Linked DNA regions of Lonchura striata. The protein of the gene in region 1 interacts with the protein of each later gene in a pairwise test. Links are inferred from orthologs where the notes say so. Each region holds a gene or a part of one and is shown in the gene's direction. Other genes may lie near its edges.

Region 1 (10,941 bases):
TGTTCCAAAGGGAGAATCCCAGGCTGCACGAAGCCTCCCGGGGTTCCCTCAGCACCGGGGGTCCCTGCCAGCCCTGGCGAGCACAGATCAGGGATATCCTCGTGTTTTCCACATCCCCACCACATTGCACAGAGAGCCCTGGCCCCAGGGGCTCAGCAAAGCTGCGGGGTGATTTGTGTGAGGCTGAGTCCATCGCCAGGGCTGCTGCTCACTCGCCGGGTTCATTAGCGCTGCCTGGGTTCTAAATAGCGAAGCCGAGGTGCTCACAGCACCAAGAAAAACCCACTCCCACGTGGAGAAGCATCTGCTCGACACCTCGGCCGCCTCTTTGAGCACCAAGCGTGGGGCGTGAGCCCAGCGTGCCGCGGGGACACAGCGGGCGGAGATGCGGGAACGGGGCTGGCCGCTGCCGGGGCCACCCTCCGAGCCCTCCGGCCACCGGGGCACGCAGCAGCCAGGGCTGGGGACACTGGGGAGAGCCGGCGGCTCCAGGCTGGGTTTGTCGCTCCATCTAGTGGGGACACGGCGGGATGTCGCCGCCGCCCCGGATCGCAGCCCCCGGCACGGAGATGCCCCAGCCCCTGCGAGCCCCTCCGCGTCCTTGTCCCCGCACCAGCAGCCAGAGTCCCGCGGGAAGTTACACCCCAAACCATTTGGTCGTTTCCGAAGGGAGCAGGGACACAGGGACGGAGAGGCAGGAGGTGGATGGAGCTTTTGGGGCCGATGCTGTGTTTTCCCTGAGCAGAGGTAGCTAGCACCCGCTGAAATATTTAGGAATTCTGTTAATAATTAAAGAAGAAGCTGAACTCAAAAGGGGCCACGTGGGAGCTCCTGAGATGGAAGGGACAAATCTGGTCATGAGAAAAAAACATTCACTAGAGAGTTATTTCATGAATTCCCCAAGAGAAAGGAAATTCTGTAGCTCCAGAGGTGTTCCAAACAACGGCCTTGGTTTCAGGGCTGTGGAAGTGCATCCTGCAGCCTGTTAGTTGAAGTTACCATTTCTGTCTCTGCACGTGTGCAGGATTCACATGCTGGCTGGGCTGTGATCATCACTGATCAGAGCCACGCTCGGCAGGGACAACAAGAACTGGCTTGTTTACAGCAGGGGCTGAAGCTCTACCAAAATCCATCCATTCCCATCAGCTCCAGCATATTCAGAAGCAGCTGATACTTCCCTTTGTCAGGGTGAAGCAAGATATTTTTGAGCTGTGAAACAGCAGCTGTCTTGCCACGCATGGACAGGAGGAATCAGATTGTTGTGATGGAAGGTTGGAACCATGAACCCAAACATGTCCTTGCACTCACATCCTGACCACAACTATAGTCATTATGAGAGTTTCAAGGTAGGAAACAAAATTACTTTGTAGTTTAAATCTGGACTGATCTTCAGATTTAGAGTGAAAGAAGTTTGATATATTTATATTATGAATTGTCATAAGAATCAGGTTGATCTAAAACAGGAATGTTTTGCCTTCCTCAGAAATATTCCTTGTATTTTGAGATACACCTTGTAGGAGGACCCTATGTTAAATAACTCTATCCCCTTATTTGTCTTGGATTTTTTTTCCAACCTCTTTGAAGAAGGGGCTTTGATAGAGCAAACAGAGGTGCTAACTGAAAAAAACCCCAGGTGCTTCTCTAAGTGTTTTTCTGTGTGTTTTGGAAGTGAGTGTTGTATTGAAAAATACACCCAAGTCTTTCCCTGACAAAACTTTAGTACTTGAACCTCCATCTCCCTATTTTCCCCTCTTTTCTGAAGGTGCTGAAAACTTGGCATGTCACTATCAATCTTTGGAGTCTTTTGAAGAACACAAGCTGTCACATTGTAAAAAAGCTGTGTGATGTTTCTGGATTTTTTTTTTTCTTGAATCTCTTGCTATTTAAGCAATCAAGGTTTTGTGAGGGCTTCCAATTGGATGTAGCAAGAAAGGCTGGGCTTTAAAATCTGTCTGAAGAGCAGTCTTGCTGTCTTCTGAACAGCCCAGCCAAAGGAATAATCACTGAGCCAGGATGAGCAGAAGCAATACACTTGTTTTGCAGTTATGGACAAGGAAAAACTAGAGTCATGGCAGATTAAGTGCCTTCAAAATACTTGCACTATCAGGCAACTGGTATTTGGGTTTTGTTGCAAACAAAGCTCAGTGCTCAGGCCAGCTGAAAGCAATTCACTTCTCATTGGAAGAATAGTTTCTTCCTTTTAATCAGCTCTGTTTTAAATGATTTCCATTTTTAGTGCCTTAAATAGTCATTTTGGTTTGTCCTTCAGGAGCCAGCATTTTCTCATGAAGAATGGAGTGTGACTGCAGCCTTTAAAAGGACAAACAATAGCCTGGCAAACAAACACTTCCATGTCATCTTGTTTTTATACAGAGCCTGCAACTCCCATAGGCTGCAAAGGAATAAAAATCAACAGCCTCTACCTGATCTGGCAGCTAGAAGAAGCAGTAAGTAACACAATTATTCCAAGTAACCCAGTTTGAAACACAGGCCAGGATTACTTGGTTCTCATACTATTTTTCCATTCCCAATATTTCATACTTATTTCAGCTTAGACAAGTGAGAGACTCCAGCTTCCTTTCTCTTCTTACAGAATACCTCTTTTTACAAAGCATCTCTGTTGATATTCAGTCTTAAAGTAGAGGGGGGGAAAATCTTTTATATTTGAGACCCAATGTCCCTTTGTTCTGCTTGAGTTCTGGCTTTCAAAACATTTCCTTATATTTGGGTAACACAGGCTCATTCGTGGGATTACAGAGAGCTGCCAGAGCTACTCATGTCTTCTACCTCTCAAATATGACAGCTCAACTCTATTGATGTTCTTGCTGACTGGGTTTTGGGTCCTAAGGCCCTGCTCACTTAGTTGCAGGCTTGAATTTCCCTGTAGCTGTCTCAGATAAGCTAATGAAATCAGTGCAGTCATGAGGCACTCTTGATTTAGACACAACTGAATTTGAAATTATTCTCATGCTTCAGGGCATAAACAGCTCTTACCTCATGGAATTATAAAGCATATTTTCCCTTGGACATGTGATTCCACAACTGACCATTGAGTTTCTCCTGCAGTAGCTGATGTTGGCTGCTGTCTGAGACAGATGGAAAACTGGAAGGACCGTGACCTGAGCCACTAAGGTAAATGTGTACTTTGTGGTGCCAAATGGCCTCTGGATGGGGAACAGAGAAGGATCGCTTTGCTTTTTACAAGTGTGTTGATGAGTTTTGTGAATGACTGCGAGGGCAGTAAGGCCCTGTCCTGTGGTGCAGGCTGCCATTTACAGCTGAACAAAGTGATAGCAAAATGGCACAGGAGTATTGAGCCTGTAAATCACCCTGCTTGGTGCAAGGCAGGGGCAGGGATTGATGGATTCAGAGCAAATTTTGTAGAAGCTGCAGAACATAATAGAAATTCTATTATTTCTAGGAGACCTTATATCAGAAGATACTTCTGTAGATGTATGTCCTATACGAGGGCTATAATGGATAGCCCTCGTAATAGACATTTTGTGTTTAGCAGATTTCCTCTGTAATGGATATTTTGTGTTTAGCAGATTTCTCACTAGTGGAAGGATGAAGCACACAGAAGGATTTCTGCTCTCACTTGTAATTAGTCCTGCAAGGAGGAAGCAGAATACTCCTGAGTGTCACTCTTTTTTCTAGGGAGCAATTTAGTAAAGACTCTGGAACAGGTGAAAAATCAGAGTGGGTGAGTTGTTTTTCCAGAATGGATCCTGCATAGAGCTATGCACTGAATTTCATCCAGATGAAACCTATTCTTCAGTCTCTGCCCAAATTGCTTCTCATTGTTGACACTCCTCCTCCACAGTCTGTTGTGGGTCTAGTCCTACCAAGCTCTCACTTTACACCAGTTATTTTGATTTATACACAGGCTGGTGAGAGGTGGTGCAGGTCTTTTAAAGAGCACCAGAAGAAATTCCTCACTTTATGCCAAGGTCTGATCCATATGTGTCCCCATGGGCCACACGTAGTTCACCTGGATGTAGAGGAACCCCACTCTCCCCTGTGGTGGCAGAGACAAGCTTTGTCCTCTCACTATCCAGATTTTGTCCAGCTTTGAACAGTGAAGGGGTGGAAAAATCCAGCCCTAATGCAGTCCTGAGCCAGACTTGCAAAATTCCAGAGCTGGCTCTGGCACACTGCTGGGCACAGGTGGAAAAGCCAGGAGCTTGTGGGCACTGCAGTGTACACACTTGGTAATATATTTACTATTGTCTTTCATTGTTTACTTTGGTTTTTTGATCACCACAACAGTTTGCATTAATTTTTCTTTAATTGCTGCATCTACTCCCTTGGCCTTGGATTGTTGCCTTGGAGATGCACAGGAGACCTTGGGAGAACTGCTTGTTACAGCAGCAGATGTGGATAGTGCTGACCTGGCCAAGCCTATGTGAGTCACCTGCTGATGGTGGGGGTTGTAGGTGTCTGCATGAGTCACTGAAAGTGAGGGGATCCCACATTCCTGATCTCCCAAAAGGAAATGTTGGTGCCACAGGGTGGCTTCCTGTCACTGTAGCTGCTGCTGTGGAAGACTCTGAGGTTTTGCATGGGCAGGAGGCAGGTTAGAGGAGGTGTTTGTATGTGTATGTACTTGTTTGACCAATGGAGAAATAAAGAATTAAGTGGACCAGACTAATGCCCCAGCTGCCAGTGAGCTGGTGAGAACAGGAATTTGGGAATGTTGGGAAAGAGGGTTGGGGTCCTGTAGGGAGAGAAGTGGAGGGCATTGACCTCCTGTCTCTGGACAGGTAAAAACACTTCTAGAGAGATGAGATGAGACACCAAAGGGGCAGGAGTGGTGCAGTACTTTGATATGCAGAAAAGGACAACCAGATGATGGTTTCAGCAGCACTGGTGCATCTCGTGGTAGCTCAGTGCCTGGCAACTTCAATAGCAGTGCAGATCAACTGTAGGAACATCCCATATGGTCCAGAAAGCTGTTCATGCATTTCTTCCCTCTGCATTACTCTTGATGGCTGTTTGAGATCATCTCTCATGAGCAGTGATCCGGGTGCCTGGCCTTACGCTGTTCCTGTAACACGGAGAGAGGTGGGGACAGTTCCTGCTGAGGCACTGTCTGCTCTGGGAAATGTGCTGCGAAATTCCTCTAAAGCCACTTTCCCTTCATGGGCAAGGGCATGTGGGGTGACAGCACATGTCTGGTGACCATTGAATAAGCTAAAGAGTGCATTTGCATAAGACCAGCAATTGCCCAGGTGCTTGTCCCATATATATAAATATAAATGTGTGTGTGCACAATTTTTCTGAACTGCTGGACAGTCCCTAAGAAATAAATGCATGTGTGTACCTGCAGTCTGGCCCTCTGTCACCAAATGTCACACTGACAGACACCTGTGTGTCTTACAGGACAGGGAAGGATAATAAAAGAGATGCTGCTCTGTCCTTGTGTGCAAGGAGACCACATCTCCAAAGCTATAAAACATCCACTGGGCAGAGGAACTGCAATTTGCAGTAACTTTTACAATACTATCTTTAGTGCCAATTTCTTGCCAGTGCTGCTGCTTCTTAGGTTGTGTCGACCTGAAGTTCTTTTGTCTGAAGCAGGGACTGTTTTTGCTGGTGAGGCTATTGGTATTTTATGGCTCTGTAGAGTGTTTTGGGAGAGGAGTGACTGCTTTGCTCTACTGCATTCATTTCCATCATCCTTGATGACAGAACAAATTAAAAGATATTTGTGGACTGAAGTCCTTCCAAGGGGCAGCTTCTCCTTTGAACCTGCTGCCCATTTGGAAAACATGTGGTGTTTTCTGGTCCCTCTCAGGCTGGACAGGAATCCTCATGTGCCTGTCATCACCCCACGTCCCTGTCACTGCCCTATGGCTCTGGGGTCATAAAAATGTGAGGGAAAAATTTCCAGTATCCCCTCAGAGACATTGTCCCTGGCACAGGGGGCTGAGGTGGCTGTAGCAATGAGCCCTGCCGTGATGACCCTTGCCTCATAGGAGAGATGATCCAGTCCTCAAATCCTCCTTGTTGCCTTCCCCCGGACCCACTCCAGCAGCTCGGCATCTCTCTGAGAGGAGCTCACAGGATCACAGATTAACTGAGGTTGGAAGGGATCCCTGCAGATCAATGCACAGGAATGTGCCCAGGTGGGTTTGGACTGTTTCCAGAGAGGGAGACTCCAAGCACTCCTTTGGGCATCTGTTCCAGAGCTCTGCCACCCTCAACCTAAAGCAATTCTCTCTTATGTTGAGGGAAAACTTTTTGTCTTTGAATTTATGGCCATTGCTCCTCATCCTGTCACCACTGAAGAGAGTCTGGCACCATCCTCGGACACACCGGGGAGACACTGACATGGATTGCTGAGATCCCCTCTCAGCCTTCCCTTCTCCAGAGTAACCCGGCCCAGCTCCGCAGTGTCTCCTCATCGGAGAGGCGCTGCAGCCTCCCAGGATTTGCAGAGATGCCCCAAATCCTGTGGGTGCGCTCCGCAGGTCCCCCTGAGGGAGCTCCCGGTGCCCCTGAGGGGGCTCCCCTCAGCGCCGCCCCCGCGCTGCCGGCGGCGCCCTGCAGGTGGCGCTGCGCGGCGGGGCCGGGCCGGCACAGCAGGAGGGGGAGGAGGAGGAGGAGGCAGCGAGTGCCCGGATCGGCCGCAGCCGCCGCCGCCGCCCCGCGCAATCCGCCGCCATCCGCCGCGCCCCGCGCCCATCACCCGTCCGCACCCGGCTCCGCAGGCACCCCCGGCTCCCCGCCACCACCACAGGTGGGTATCGGGGGCCGGCGGCGGCGGCGGCCGCGGATATTCGGGGCGGTGAGTGGGGCCGGGGGGGGAGGAGGAGGAAGGGGAGGGAGAGGGGAAGGTGGGACGAGGCAGCGCTAAAATGGAGCCGGAGCCAGCGGCTGCGGCACCCCGCGGCCTCCCGGCTCGGGCGGGTCCCGTGGGCGGCTTGGGGGGGTGACTCTCCCCGGTTTCTCGCTGCTGTGGCCGCCGGTGTTTCTTGTGCGAGCCGCCCCCCTTCTCCCTGCGGGGACGGGCCCGCCGCGGGGCCTGGCCGGGCCCATCCCCGGTGGGGCCGCCGGGGCTCGGGCCCCTTGTCCGGGCTCCGGCCCGCCGCGCTCCCCGCCGGGTGCAGCCGGCGCGGGGGGCTCCCCGCCGCAAAGGCAGGTTGTTTTTTTTTTTTGGTCGTCTGGAGTGTGACACAAAGATATTTTTGTCGCGCCGTGTGTGTCTCAGCAAAACAAGGGGGGGGGGTGGCATCCAGAAGGCTCGGCCGGTTTGTTATTGTGCGGGAGCTACAAAAGGGCCGCTGAGGCCGAAATGCGGCTGGGGCGTGGGGGAGGGAGCGAGGATGGAGTTTGTGCGCTGGGCGAGCTCGTTTGGTAGGTTTGGAAATATGTTTAGGCCTTTTTTTTTTTTTTTTTTTTTTTTATGTTCAAGAAGGAGTTTTTCAATTCTGTGTGGGAGCATCTGTGCTGCAAGCTGGGGGAAACCCTAATGCGGGTCCTGGGACACGGGCTGAGCATCTTTTCCGGGGGGTGTTTTTAGTCGTGTTGGTTGTGAATTTAGAAAACAAAAAGTCCCCCATATATTCAAATTCAAACCTGCTGTAATGGGTTGGTATGAGCTGGAAATTGTGGGTTTTGTTAGGAAAGTTGTTTTGTTTGGTTTCTGTTTTCTGGGTGTGCAAAGGGTGAGATACACACTGAGCATCTACTCATCAGATAAGTGTTCGTATATTGATGTTACTGTTGTTTGGGGTGATTATACAGTAAACATTAACGTTTAGGGATTTAGTAGTTTTCTTTCTAGGAACAGGTATAAAGTGTAAGCACATTGCAGTGTGTTCATCATCTACTAGGGAGGAAGGCATCCCACCTCTTCTAGCACTGAATCCAGGTTTATAGTGGAAGCGTTGGTTTTGTTAAGCCTTGTCTTACCGATTCACTTGACACCTCCACTGGAATGGCCTCTTCCATGATGGATAAATAGCTGGTCCCCGTCTTGGAGAGCCCAAATTTGGAGAATCGACTCCTGATGAGTAGGGTTCAGATATAAACTGGCCAGGACATTACTTTTGTACTTGCCTTTTCCATATTCAGTGTCACTGGGGTAGTGAAACCCCCAGTGACGCTGAACAAAAACTATTGCTCTGAGCCAGAGGGGCTAAAGTCATCTGGAAGAGGTAGGGAAGGCAAGGCCATAGTCTGAAAGCAGAATTTAAAGAGAGGATGGAAAGTGATGTTTTCAGGCTGATTTCTGACTGAAAATGTGAAATATTTACATGCATTTTTCACTCCTAGTGAAGCATTGTAAATGAGCTTAGGTTTTATCAGGAGCTCACCTGTGGTCCATGAGCTCTTTGTGGGCTCATCATGGGTGATGCTGTTTCTTTTGGGTCTCTGGCTTAAGAAGTTTTTCCTAGTTAGCAGAATATTTTGGGATTACAATAAACGGCACCTCTCCCATAATGTTTTTCTTGTAAAAATTTAAAAGTTCAGATAAAAAACATACTCAGAAAAATTGCAGATACTGTTTGGAATTGCTGCTTTGTTGTTTTTGCAAGCCAGTGCGAGTACATCTGCTGTTAGCTGTATTTTGATTTTGTGTTTAATTTTTTGAGTGTCTTGAGTACCAGTTGATTCCTTTTTTTTTTATTCTTTAGTCTGGTACACTTTTCTGCATAGTTGAGTAAACTAGGTATCACATATTTGGGGATGCTTTCAGCATTCTTCACTGTTAACAAAACAAATTTTTACATGATTTGACAGATACCTTTATTTAAAAAATTAATTAAACCACGGTTTGATATGGGTTTCCAGATTTGTCATTATATAGTGCCTTGGTGCCTTGTTTTTTCTAAATTCAGATATTTTTTTCTTTGGTCTTACAGTGCATTTTTTTGATGCATTCTTGAGCTTTTTTTCTTTTTTCTATGTGTGCATGAGAGCTTAAAAGGGCAGCTCATCCAGCTGGCTGAAACTGGAAAAGTGAGTAAATAGTCCATAAAGATGCTGGAAGGGACATGCAGGGTTTAAAAGTATTTTTGTTTCAGTAAGTGAGTCATATCGCTAAATATTTTGTATTAAAGCTATTTCACTTTATAGTGACATCTTAATAAAACCTTTTAATAAAGCTTTGTGTAAGGCCTGACTTCAAAGGCTCATTTATTTGAACAACCTCCTAAAGGTGGTGGCGTTGGAGCTGTGTTTGTGTGACGCAGCTCCTGGGTGATGGCACAGGACAGGCAGCGCTCAGTGCCCGTGTGTGGCCTCCTCTCCTGCTGGGCTCACACCTGAGCTGTGCCTGAGGAGAACAAGGACCCCGAGCTGTGCACTGCAGCTCTGAGATGATCCAGGTCACAATTACCTGCCCTGTTCCAGAGTGCTTTGTGCTCAAGGCCTTCATTGTGCTTACCTGAGTGATTGAAAGTATTTAAGGGCAAGCCCTGCTACGTTTAAGTGCTGCTGAAAATAATAGTAAACCTTATATATATATATATATGTCTTTTTATGATGGTAGTCTACAAAGAGATTTTGCTCTAGTGGCATTTCCACTTAAAATTTTGTATTTTCATGTTGTAGGAATAGAAGCAGTACGAGCAGGAGAAACTTAGTGATACAATATGGTAACTTCAGGAGAGGGTTTATTCCAAGGGCTGGACCTCTCTGGTTCCCTGTTTCTTTTTACTACATTCCTCATTTATTCAGCAAGTTGGCACTGAGCTGTTGTCTCAGTATCAGACTTTGCTCTTAAGCTGATCCTGCCATGTTAAGTGGGTTTTGTTTTTCGTGTGTCACTGACTCATTCTTCTAATAGGTCGATAATTTCACAGCTCCTTATCACTAATTTCTCATGTGGAGCAGAAGAAATAGAACAGTGGTTCTGTCAGGTATCAGTGAGGTGAGAGCACAGAGAACAGGTTAAGGCTGGGGAGCTGCAGCTGTCTCCATCATAGAACAGCCATTTGTAACTTCTGAAATTAAGCGACTTGGTTACCAAACGGAAAACACCCTCTGAAGCTGGGTTTTGCCCACATCTGGGTTGGTTAAAGAGTTTTTCCTTCCCCTGCAAGGATAAAATGGGGCTAAAGCAGAACATTGCATTATATCCAGCCTCACTGAAACATAGCTCAGGCTCATGCTCTGTTAGTAAGTTGTACTAGAATTCAGGATGTTCCCTGCATGCGTGTGTACTTATTGTGCAAAAGTAACAGAGCAGTTGGAGCTTATGAGCTGTTTATTTCAGAGCAAAGCTGTTCTGATACTGACTTGTACAGCTGTTAAATCCTCATCTGTTTTTTTTTTTATTATTTGGAAGCATTTGGACAATAACCGAAGTGGACTGGAGGCTGCTTTAGTAGTCCTGTGTTGTTCTGTAATTGCCTGTGGCACTGGTTGGTTGTGAAGCTGCTTGTGCTGCGAGGTGTGTGGGGACAGAAGGTGTTAAAAGGTGTGTATGCAGCTCTGCAGGGGGTTATTTAACTTGCAGCCAAAATGCAATGTCTGTGGTTTGACTCCAGCACTTAAATTTTCAGGAGAGTGTTAGTAGGCTGGAAGGGGTGAAAAGGTGAGAAAGGGTGGAAGTGGGGGGTGAGCTCAGTGTTCCATTTTAAGAAGACTGCAGGTATTAATTTGTGGGGACTGATGAAAAGTCATACCTTGGGTGAAAGGGAAGAGAGATAATGACCAAGTTTGAAATGGGCAGCTGAGCCCGGCTTTAGTGTGAAGAAAGGGAGGACTTGCTGACAACCCTCTAGGATCTGGCCAAGAAGCCCACTCTGTTGGACTGTAGTATCTTGGTGTCTGCCAGGCTGCAATTAGCTATTGGGAGCACCCTGAATAGCCTTCGGATTTCAGATGGGTAGCACTTAGGAGGAGTAAACTACCGAGTATTTGCGCAATTAGTACCCTTTCTGAAGAGTTTTGCTTGAGGAATCCTTCCCAGGTAGCCATTGAGGCATT
Region 2 (11,106 bases), on another chromosome or scaffold:
GCTCTGGTCCTGCAGGGCAGCACCTGCACTGCTGCTCTGGTCCTGCAGGGCAGGAATTGCACTGCTGCTCTGGTCCTGCAGAGAAGGACTTGCACTGCTGCTCTCTGGGGAGCTCCTGCCACAGGAACACCCGGGAGGAGCCCATCTGCTCAGCTGCCTCCCAGGGCAGCCCCGAAGGACCAAAGCACATCTGGGTGTTGATACGCAGCTCCACAGCATCCCTAAAACAAATCTTGCAGACAGCAAACAGGATCCAACTCAGTGGATAGTGACAAAGCACTCTGAAAAGTGACTGAGGACAAACACAAAGCCATTTCCTCAGGGCAGGGCAAAGCTCAGAAGCCTCACTTTGCTGTCTCATGCAGCTCAAGTTTTTCTTTTCCCATAAGAAGTTCTGCCATACATCTACAGTGATCTTCTCTGTCTATCAACATCTTCCTCACTGCACTTCCCTTGGGCCCTTTTCAATAATAACAAAAAAAAAAAATTAACACATTAATAAATATAAATGGTTTATTTTTCCACACGCTAAGAATCATTCATTCAGGAAGCCTGGAAAATGTTGCTATGAAGTAAATAATAGAATCCCAGAATGGTTTGGGTTGGGACCTTGAAGTTCATCTCATTCCACCCCCTGCCATGGGCAGGGACACCTTCCACTGTCCCAGATTGCTCCAAACCCTGTCCAACCTGGCCTTGGAAACTTCCAGGGATGGGGCAGCCACAGCTTCACTGGGTAATCTGTGCCAGGGCCTCAGCACCATTTGAGTAAATAACTTCTTCCTAATATCAAACTTAAACCGCTTCTCTTTTAGTTTAAAGTCGTTCTCCCTTATCCTGTCACTGCATGCTCTTGTAAAAAGTACATTTACTATACATAGGGACTGCTGGAACTAACACACAGATGAGTAACAAATACCTGTGTTGTGAAGTGATTTCCTAGGGATTCAAATCTATTCATCTCCTGCCCTAATTCTTTCCCCTGGCCCCCATTACTATGGCATTTGATTGCCTCAAAACTTTAGGTATTGTAATAGTTAGGAATAGCTAAATGTAGCTTGCAACATGATTCATAAAAGTACTTCAAATCAAATCCTATTAATATCTCAGCCCACAGAACAGAACACAGTACATATGAAAAGGAAAATCTGCAAAGCACATCAGATACTCAAAAAAATCAGTAGAGGAACAGGCCTTAAAATCTAAAGAACTTCATGGTTTCAGTGTCCAGCCTATTATAAAAAATATTCCTGCTATTGAAGAGTGGGTTGGCCACTGTTCACTTCTTTTTCAAAGGAAAGTGTTTGTAGAAAATAGCTTCTCTTTTATTTTTCTAAATGTCTTTTGAAGCTGAAAAATATGAGTTTCTTTTTCAAAGATTACTTTTTCTCTTTATTCAGTTTTCTAGCCCTTCTTGCCCCTGACAGTGGACCCAATAATCACGAGGGGAAAAAAAAAAAGAAATGTAGAGTAACCCCAAACCCTATCCATTATTTGTTTTCTTTTTTTGTTTCCCATAACATTCTGAATACTTGAAAAAAAATCTGTAAAAATTCTCTGCTGCTGCAAATTGAACAAACTATTTTCAGTTTTCAGCAGATCAACAATCCAGTGATCCAAAGAGCATGCAGAGTGCTCAGAAGCCTGAGCAGCAGCAAAGGGATTGAGAATGCAAATTAAAATTTGAGGAGGAAAACTGTGAGTATGGAAAATATAAATTATATTATCTTGATTTTTTCCTTCTTAAGTAGCATCTGTAGGTTTCTCCAAAGATGAATCACAGCTCTTCCTCTCCCTCTGGCTGACCTTGATAATTTCCCAATTCCTTCTGGTTCTGACATGCAGGAGCCTCACATTTGGGCTCTATTCCTTTCACCTACTTCAAGCCAGGAGGTAGAGAAGCAGAAGAACTGGAGCCTTATGTAAACTGAGTGGTATTGCAACTCTAAATTATTCATTTATAAATCTAACAGCTCAGAAGAGATCCTTGCCCACTTGTGGCCACAGTTCCACCATTCAGCCATTGAATTACCTGTAAAGAAGAATTTGTCAGGGATTGTTGTGATTCTAATGGAGCTCATCCTACTTTATAATTGGCAGAAAATCAGCCATCAAGAATCACAGAACATCTGATTTTCCAATTAAATCCTGCTATACTTTGGACTGTGTTTTTATTGCAGAGAATGTGCCTGGCTGCCTGAATATTGCTTGGGCAACAAGCAGAAAGATCTATTCTCGAGCTATTCACATTACAATTATCTGCTTTTCTCCATGCAAATTGGCTTGGAATTAATTTATTTTGTCCCTGTATCAATAATCAATAGGAAGACTGAAAGATGAGGAAGAAAAACAACAAAGCAACCTGAAGTCACTGCAAAGAGATGAAGGAAAAAATGCATAACAAAGAAACCAGACTGACCTTACAATTTAATAGAAACCCCACCACAGCAGCAAGAAGGAGTTGCCAAGGATGAAGATCAAGAGGGAGACAGGGGAGAGTTCCTGTGCTCAGTCATTGCTCCACTGAGCTCCTTGCCACAGCTTTCCAAGGATTTTGTCTTGCAGGGAACAGCATGTGTGATGCTGATGTCAGATGGGATCTGTTCACAGGCCACACTCTTTGCATATGATTTCCCTCCTCATGTTTTCACAAACAATGTGTCAGTGACATGAGAAACAGGAGAGGAGAACAGCTACAATTTCTCTGTGTGTCTGCTTTTATTTTTCACCCTAAAATGATGGAAGTGAATGCTGGGTCCTTGGTTTGGGAACATTCCGCAGGGGTGTAGGGTGCAGGAGGGACATGATTCCATTATGGCAATATTTGATTTTCTTCCATGCTCATAACAGAGAGGGCTGCATAAAATTCCTGTAAAACCTGAATTAAAAACTAATAATAAAAACACTAACACAAATATGCTGTAGTTTACACATGAACTCTTCTGAGATTTCAGAGTGCGTTAGCAAAGGAAGACAAAGATAAGTACAACTTTTTCTTAAACTAGAAGAACACATTTCATTCAACTAAGAGAGAACCAAACCCCATGTTTCCCCCTGGGTTACTTGTTACCCTCCAAGAGTATCCTAAGTTATATAATATATATATAAATATGAATATTGCTTTATCCATATCCTTCAGCTGAGACTTTTCATCTTACTGGTTTTATCTCTAAAAGACTACGCACTTCTCAATGGATAGACAAGATCATTCATAGCATTACCAGGAAGAAAAAAAAATTTCCAAATGCAACAGAAAAAAAAAAATATTCCCACAAAGACTTAGACGTGTGCATGCATGTAAGTATGTGATATGCTGCCGTTGGGTCTAACCTAACAGGTACAGCCTAAGAGCCCCCTGTGCGTTGGGATGCTGAAGCAGAGAGAGCTTTAACATTCTGCCCACATGCTCTCCTGGCAGGATGATTCATAGTCACATCGTTTCTATATCGAGATGTGAACATACACAATCACATGGACTTCGGAGCAGTGCCCATCACCCAGGCACCCAGCCTTTCCCTTCTCCTTCTGCACACGTGTTCCTCTCTCCAGCCATGCTGATCACTTTCTTTTTAGTCCTGTTTCTTGAAGCTCTGCTCTTTGGACAGACTTCCCAGCTCTCTCAGGGAGTGCCCACAGCAGGGATTTACTGATTTGCTCCATAATTACACTGAAGGCAAACAGAATTGGAACAGGCCACCTTGGACAGGGCTTGGAGCAACCTGGTCGAGTGGGAGCTGTCCCTGCCCACAGCAGGGATTGGAACAAGATGATCTCTGAGGTGTCTTCCAATCCAGTCTGGGAAAATTAGTGTTTTCTAAGAAAATACTAATTATTACTTCCTACCCAAGTCAAACAGAGAAGCCAGAGCATGTCCAGGTGCTGAGGATTAAAGCACCACTCTTTCTTCTTTATCATTGGATGTCTGATCAGAGAAAGGACAAAAGTGCACTCTTCATTTCAGATATTTTATTACAATAGTAAGTACAAACTCAAACTCAGTTTTCAAACATGTGAAGACTCGGGTTTTAACTACGTCTAAAGAAAAGCATGATTGTGTTCTTCAGTGTATTCCACAAGGACCAGAATTTGCCACTTTTACCCCCAAAATTAAGCATGGAGATATTACAACACTTTGTGACTAGGAGGACTTAGATGTTGATCCCACAGAAATCAACATAAACTGGGCTAAGGGGCCCAAATTCCACCCAGGTTCTGCAAAACAGCTGGAAGAGGAAAAAATAATTAATCTGATAAAAACCCATGTTGAGGGTGGCTGCTGGCTGTGTGAGGAAAGGTGGGTCTCCCAAAGCTCTTGGGTGAACCAGAACAGGCTCCCCAGGAAAGTGATCAGGGCACTGAGCCTGATGGAGCTCAAGGAGCTTTGGACAAGGTGGGATTGCTGGGGGTGTCCTGTGCCAGGACAGGAATTGGGCTTTGATCATCCTTGAGAGTCTTAAACTGTACCTGGGTATCAGGAGGAATTTCTTCACAGAAAGAGTGATGAGACATTGGAATGTGTGGCCCCAGGGAGGTGGTGGATGGCCATGGCACTCAGTGCCCTGATGTAGCTGACCAGGGGCACTGGGAATAGGTTGGACTTGATGGTCTCAGAAGTCTTTTCCAACCTAAGTCATTTGGTGATCCTGGGTCCATTCCAGCTCAGGAAGCTCAGGGATTCTGTCTCAGTGATCCTGTGAATCTGCACAGCTGAGCCTGTGGGCAAAGAGTCCTCTCAAAGACTGAGGGAGGAACAGAATCAGAGAATCTTCTGAGTTGGAAGAGACACACAAGGATCGAGTTCACTCCTGGCCCTTAACAGGACGCCCAAGAATCCTCCATGTGCTGTTGTCCACACGTATCTTGAGCAATCAGGCTCGGTGCCGTGGCCACATCCCTGGGGAGCCTGTTCGAGTGCCCGACCATCCTCTGGGTGAAGAACCCTTTGCTCCCAAGGAAGTGAGGCACAGCCTGAGCTGTGCTCCGTGCCCTCGTCCTGCCGCTCCCCGGCTGGGCAGCCCGAGTGCCCTGTGACGGGCTGTGAGGCAGAGCCATGTCTGCCATGCGCCCCCTCCCTCCCTCCCTCCCATGCATAGTATCCCATGGCCTGGCTTCATATAGCATGGCCAACCATAACATAGCATGGCCCAGCATAATATCACATGCCCATGTCACATATAGCATGGCCCAGCCTCATATAACATGGCCCACAATAATATCGCATGGCCCGGGCTCATATCCCATAACCCAGCTCCATGTCCCAGCCCTATATCCCATGTCCCAGCCCATATCCCATGTCCCAGCCCCATATCCCATGTCCCAGCCCCACATCCCATGTCCCAGCCCCACATCCCATGTCCCAGCCCATATCCCATATCCCATATCCCAGCCCCATATCCCATATCCCATGTCCCAGCCCCTATCCCATATCCCAGCCCCTATCCCATATCCCATATCCCCTATCCCAGCCCCATATCCCATATCCCAGTCCCATATCCCCTATCCCCTATCCCAGCCCCATATCCCACATCCCATATCCCAGCCCCATATCCCACATCCCATGCCCCAGCCCCCTATCCCCTATTCCGGCCCCATATCCCATATCCTGGCCCCATATCCCATATCCCGGCCCCATATCCCATATCCCATATCCTATATCCCATATCCCGGCCCCATATCCCCTATCTCAGCCCATATCCCATATCCCATATCCCCTATCCCAGCCCATATCCCATATCCCATATCCCATATCCCATATCCCATATCCCCTATCCCAGCCCATATCCCATATCCCACACCCCACATCCCGGCCCCATATCCCCTATCCCAGCCCATATCCCATATCCCATATCCCGACCCCATATCCCCTATCCCAGCCCATATCCCATATCCCGACCCCGTATCCCCTATCCCAGCCCATATCCCCTATCCCAGCCCATATCCCATATCCCATATCCCACATCCCGGCCCCACATCCCCTATCCCAGCCCCACACCTCCCGCCCTCTCCCGCCGCCCCCCGCCCTCCCCGCGCTCAGCCCTGCCCGCGCTGCCGCGCACGCGCAGAGGCGCCGCCGCCCCGCGCGCCTTTCCCCGTGCGCTCCCGGCGCTCCCCGCGCGCGCTCGCCGCTGACGTCACCGCAGCCCGGCGCCCGCCGCCATTGGAGTCGGCGGCCGCCGCTGCCCCGCTCGCTGCGGCCCCAGGCCCGGCCCGCGGGCATGTGAGACACGGGCCGGCTCCGCCACCGGCTCCGGCACGGCCGCGCCGCGCCTCCGCCGCCCGCTCCGCCGCCCGCTGAGGAGGCGCCCCGAGCAGGCGCCAGGCGGCCCCTTTCCCTCCCCCTCGGCCCCGGCCCCTTCCCCGCCCGGCCGCCGCCTGAGGGGAGCGGAGGCGCCGCCGCCGCCCCTCCGCCAGGCCCCGGAGCTCCGCGCCGCGCCCAGCGGCCCTGCCTCGTTCCCCGGCGCTCTCTGCTGAACCACGGGGCCCTGTGCATGAATTATGTCTGCCACAAGCGTTGACCCTCAGGTGAGCGAGTGGCGAGGCGGCCCGGGGACGGGGGAGCTCCCGGGCCTGCGGGTGCAGGCCCCGCCAGGCTTTTCTTCTCCCCCTTGACTGCTTTAGAGCTCCATCGTTCTCCTCAACTTCCCCCGTGGGCTCAGCGCGCTCCCGCCTCCTCCCCGGAGCCATTTCTCAGCAAGGCCGGGCCTGAGGGATACGTGGAACACGCTGCTCCAGCCCTGCTCCAAACAAACCTTGAGATGCTGCTGGCCATTTTTATAAGTCTCTTTCTTCCCCGTCCTCGTAAGCTGTGGGGTTTGCAGTGCCTATGACAATATAAGCGTTTTTCTAAAATTAACTTTTTTACTTCCCTTTTTCTTTTTTTTCCCCGTAATCACGTGCTGTGGCTTCCCAGAGACCGAAAGGACAGGATAATAAAGGTGAGGAATCGTGCTGTGATCTGGTCGCTTAAATTGTTACTGTAAGAGATCAATTACGCAGGTACCTGTAGGTGAGCAGAAATGTATGGCTGGTACTCTGCATGGAAAACATCTGGGAATGAGGGAACGTGTGCTTTGTTTCGAAAATAACATGACTGCCATTCATCCGAGCTTGCCTGCATCCCACTTACTGCTGCTGGGTTTGCAGTGGGAAGGACTGTGCTGGAACTAAATAATTCTCGTTTAACATGAAGCAAGTTGCTACATAAAGTCACAAGGATATCCCTGTACAGTATATGTATTTTTGCCTACTTTTGCATGCTCTGTGAGTGCAGTTGTGTTGCTGCTCTGCTGTTGGCTGAGATAGTTACTTAAGTCCATAAACTTAATAATTTTGGGAACTTGAAAGATGGTTAATTTATGATGAGGTAATAAGTATTTTTATAACTATTCTGCTTCAATTGAAATTAAACTTAGTAACAAGTCATCTGAGAAATACCTTCATTCTTATTGTGATCGCTTACAAATATGTAACTGTTAAGACTTAGAAAGTAGTAATATCTATCTCATAAATGCTTTTTCATACATCTTAACCTGCCTTGAGAATCCTTCTAGTTAAACGTTAAACACATCTCCCTGTGTTTGTAAACACTCTTTTACCTCTTCTCCCCTTGACAAACTTTGCAGAAATGCTCTGCTAAATTCCCAAACTTGTTTGCTAAACACTTTATTTGGTGTACTATTATATTTAGTTCAGCTGTTCTGTGAAATAGGTAAATATAGCAACTACCACACTGTGTATTTGACCTTGGTTTTTCAAATTTAAAGCAAACAGGAAATTATTTGAAGGGACCTAGTAGCTGGTTTGGGTTTGTATATCATTCAGTAATGGGTTTCACATGAAGTAGGACTTTATGGCAGATATATATATTTTTTTCTACAGATGAGAATGTTGAAACTTAAGTTTTCCTGAAAATATCAGGATAACAAAGCTCTTAGCAGTCTTCATTTCATAATACAATGTAACCTCACCTCATCTTATTTTAGCCAGTTTAAGCAGAGAATAACACATGCTGGGAGAACTGTGAGTTTGTGTGTTCTAATTATGGGCCAGAACAATAGATGCTGTTTCTCAATCCTTTTTCACAAAATTGTTCTCAATAATGATTTTTTTGTTGGGAGTTAATTCACATGAGTTGTTTACTCACCCTCAGCTGTAGAATTTTTTATTACTAATTTTTTTAATTTACTCAAACTTTGTTTTATAAACAGTTATATAAAGAGAAACAATCTGGGGGGTGGGAAGTGTCATCCCTTGGTCTTTTTGTGAGTCTTTCTGGCTTGCAGAAGAAGTATGGCTTTTCCTAAAGTAGCATAGGGTGGAGCATCACTCCTGCTCCAATGCTGCTGCTGTTCTAATGTGCTGTAACCCTTATTTTGTAGTACAAAATGGTTCGTTACATCAGAAGGACACAGTTCACGACAACGATTTTGAACCTTACCTTTCTGGGCAGTCAAATCAGGTTAGTGTCTTTTTAACTTAGTTTTGGTTTTTTTGTTGTTGTTGGGGTTTTTTTTGTTTGTTTTGTTGTTGTTTTTGTTTTTTTTATTCCTTAGGGATGTTGTTGGCACTCCATTCATAGGATTGTGTGGAGGGGGCAAATGCCTTAAATAGAAATGGAAAAAGAAATGGCAGCATATTGTGTTACTTGGTGATAACAAGCAGCATTTGTGTTCCCAAAGCTAATATTACTCTGCATTTCCAGATGGCCACAAGTGAAAATGAAGTTGATGCTCCGAGGAGCTGGAGCTGATTGCTCCTCCCCTTGCAGGTTATTGGTGTGGCTGGACTGGGACAGCCTGATCTTACAGTTCCTTGATAGGCCAGTTGCTTGTGGGAGTTTAAAAATTCTGCTTTAGGGCTCTCCTGATTTCTATTATTTATATAATTATAAAAATTAATGTAGTTGAGATTTGGGTTGGATGCTCTCTAGGTGCTTTGTAGAGTCCCATTTTTTACACTTCAGCAAATGTTCTTTCATGTTCTCTGATACATTTTAAGAATTAAAGATGTGTTACTTAAAAGTAAGGAACTGTAATGTAAACTCTCATTATAATGTACATTAAATCAACATCCATGACTAAAATACTATTATAATTGAAAGTATTCTCTGAAGTAATTCTTGACTTCATATTCAAATCTTTTAAGAGAACAAAATTTTTAGAAACTGGAGCAGCAAAAGGTTTTCATTCACAAGTATGAAACTCCATTTCAGAAAGAAACATTTAGCAGAGGTAAACGATGGGATGGCGAAGTGTTATGTTTTAAAAAGGAAATTTATAATTCAGCCTGAAGCTGTCAGATGCCAGTGTTAATATTGATGACATCACTGAGCTTGCTTGCAGCATAGACATGTTCTCCAGACTTAAAATAATTTAATGGGAGGCATTCCTTCTTTTGGAGTTAACCTACTGTGGAAAGTAGGAAAGCCTTTGTGAGGAAAAAAGGAAGCAAAATCTTAATTTTTAATTCAGAATTAATTATAAATGAAATTGAGGTTTTCACCTCCCCTTGATTTTTTAAAGTTGTGCTTTGTCACATTTGTATGTAATTTTTAATGACTAAAAACTAAACTGTGAAATATACTGAATGTTCACATAGAAAAAATGAACCCATCTATTATAGTTTTATTGTGGGAAATTTGTCTTTGCTGTCAGCAAGCCAAATTATTAGGATTAAATAGAAAAATTGCTATGGTTGTTAGAATTTACATAATTATAATAAAAGTTTTCTTTATGGAAGTGTAGCTCCATTGACCAACTTATTTATGCTGCAGTGAAAAAATTGGCATGGCACAACAAACAATTGTGTAGGTCCTCTTACAATTTTAAGTGGAAAGTGACAGTAGCATTAATTAGGACTGTGAGATTTTGTACTGAAGACAACCATGTTACTGAACAAAGCCTTATTATCCAGTTATCCAGTCAGATTTATTCATCCCTTGAAAATTACTGTAAAGTACAGATAACTTAAAAAAAAGATTTGAAGCCAACTGGATATTTAAAATAAGCTTTAGAAATTAAAGCCCCAGCTGACACAATAATATATTTAACATCAAAAATCAAATGTGAGTAATATTGTGTTAAAAGTACTTTTAAGAGCAGAGAGAACTGAGTCAAGTAGACTCTTCATCTACAGATTTACACTCAGCAAGAGCATCCTCCTGTAAAGTCAGTGAGAACCAAGAGATTCTTCCTATGGAACAGGAATCACCAGCAAGGAACATTTTTGGGGGGAGATTGTTTTCCTGGTTAGCAGAATGGTTAAGTTGGTTTTGTTTTGGGTTTTTTAATAAAAAAGATACAGAAGGGTGCAGAAAGGTCAAGAATATTGAAATAAATGTTCTGCTGTTGAAGGGAAGAACTTCTGTTAGGGTTTTACACACTCTGGCATAAAGCCAGTTAAAATAGATTGAATGTTTGGTAAGGATGGCTGCTGCAACTTTCCTTCAATCTTGTTAGAAAACCTTGTGGAGACTTTACAGGCTGTGTGAAGAGATGACAGCTGCAGGAATTGTCTAAAATTCTTTAGCCTAAATATTTCTGAGACAAAACACTTGCTTTTCTCTAGACTTACTCTTTTTAGTCTTAAATTCTATACTTGTAGAATTTATGAGCATAAGTATCTTGAGAACTGCTTATATCTTCTCCCTTTCATCTACATTTGCTTTTATTTTTTTTCTTAAATTAGCACTTTAAAATACAACATTCAGGCAAAGTCTTTCAGAAAAATGGGTTTTTATGCTAAATATTGATTACTTTAGCTTGGGAGGCTCAGAAAACTCAGTGTATTTTAGAGGATCATCTCATAGAAAGGTGATTTTTGTACCTCTTGTTAGTGATAGAATTTGTGTGTAAATAAGAGAGCTTGAACAGTGGCAGAGATCATTTCTTTTGAATCAATAACATTGGATTTTGGCTGTTTCCAATCTCTGAAGTGTTTGCAGTACTGTATGGATCTCTTGGAGGCATATTGTGGTATCATTCTGTGTATGAAACATAAGGCTATTGAATTACTCTGGCTTTGGGGTGTCATGGAAAAGAGGTCATTGAAAAATGATCAATCAAAATTATTCTGTATCCATTGGATATTAGACTTATCTTCAGCAAG

The links.
Region 2: the proteins of PRRC2B (region 1) and YTHDF1 interact in a two-hybrid assay, tested with the Homo sapiens proteins (2 studies listed by BioGRID, with this or other methods). The link is inferred for Lonchura striata from reciprocal best matches to the Homo sapiens genes PRRC2B and YTHDF1.

Annotation. Positions count from the first base shown.
Region 1 is NC_134624.1:6,955,326-6,966,266, forward strand, and holds the start of PRRC2B (protein PRRC2B), read left to right. Parts: upstream 1-6,600; 5' UTR 6,601-6,742; exon of another isoform or gene 6,743-6,790; intron 6,791-10,941.
Region 2 is NC_134619.1:6,018,098-6,029,203, reverse strand, and holds the start of YTHDF1 (YTH domain-containing family protein 1), read left to right. Parts: upstream 1-6,344; 5' UTR 6,345-6,495; coding exon 6,496-6,522; intron 6,523-6,910; coding exon 6,911-6,935; intron 6,936-8,378; coding exon 8,379-8,458; intron 8,459-11,106.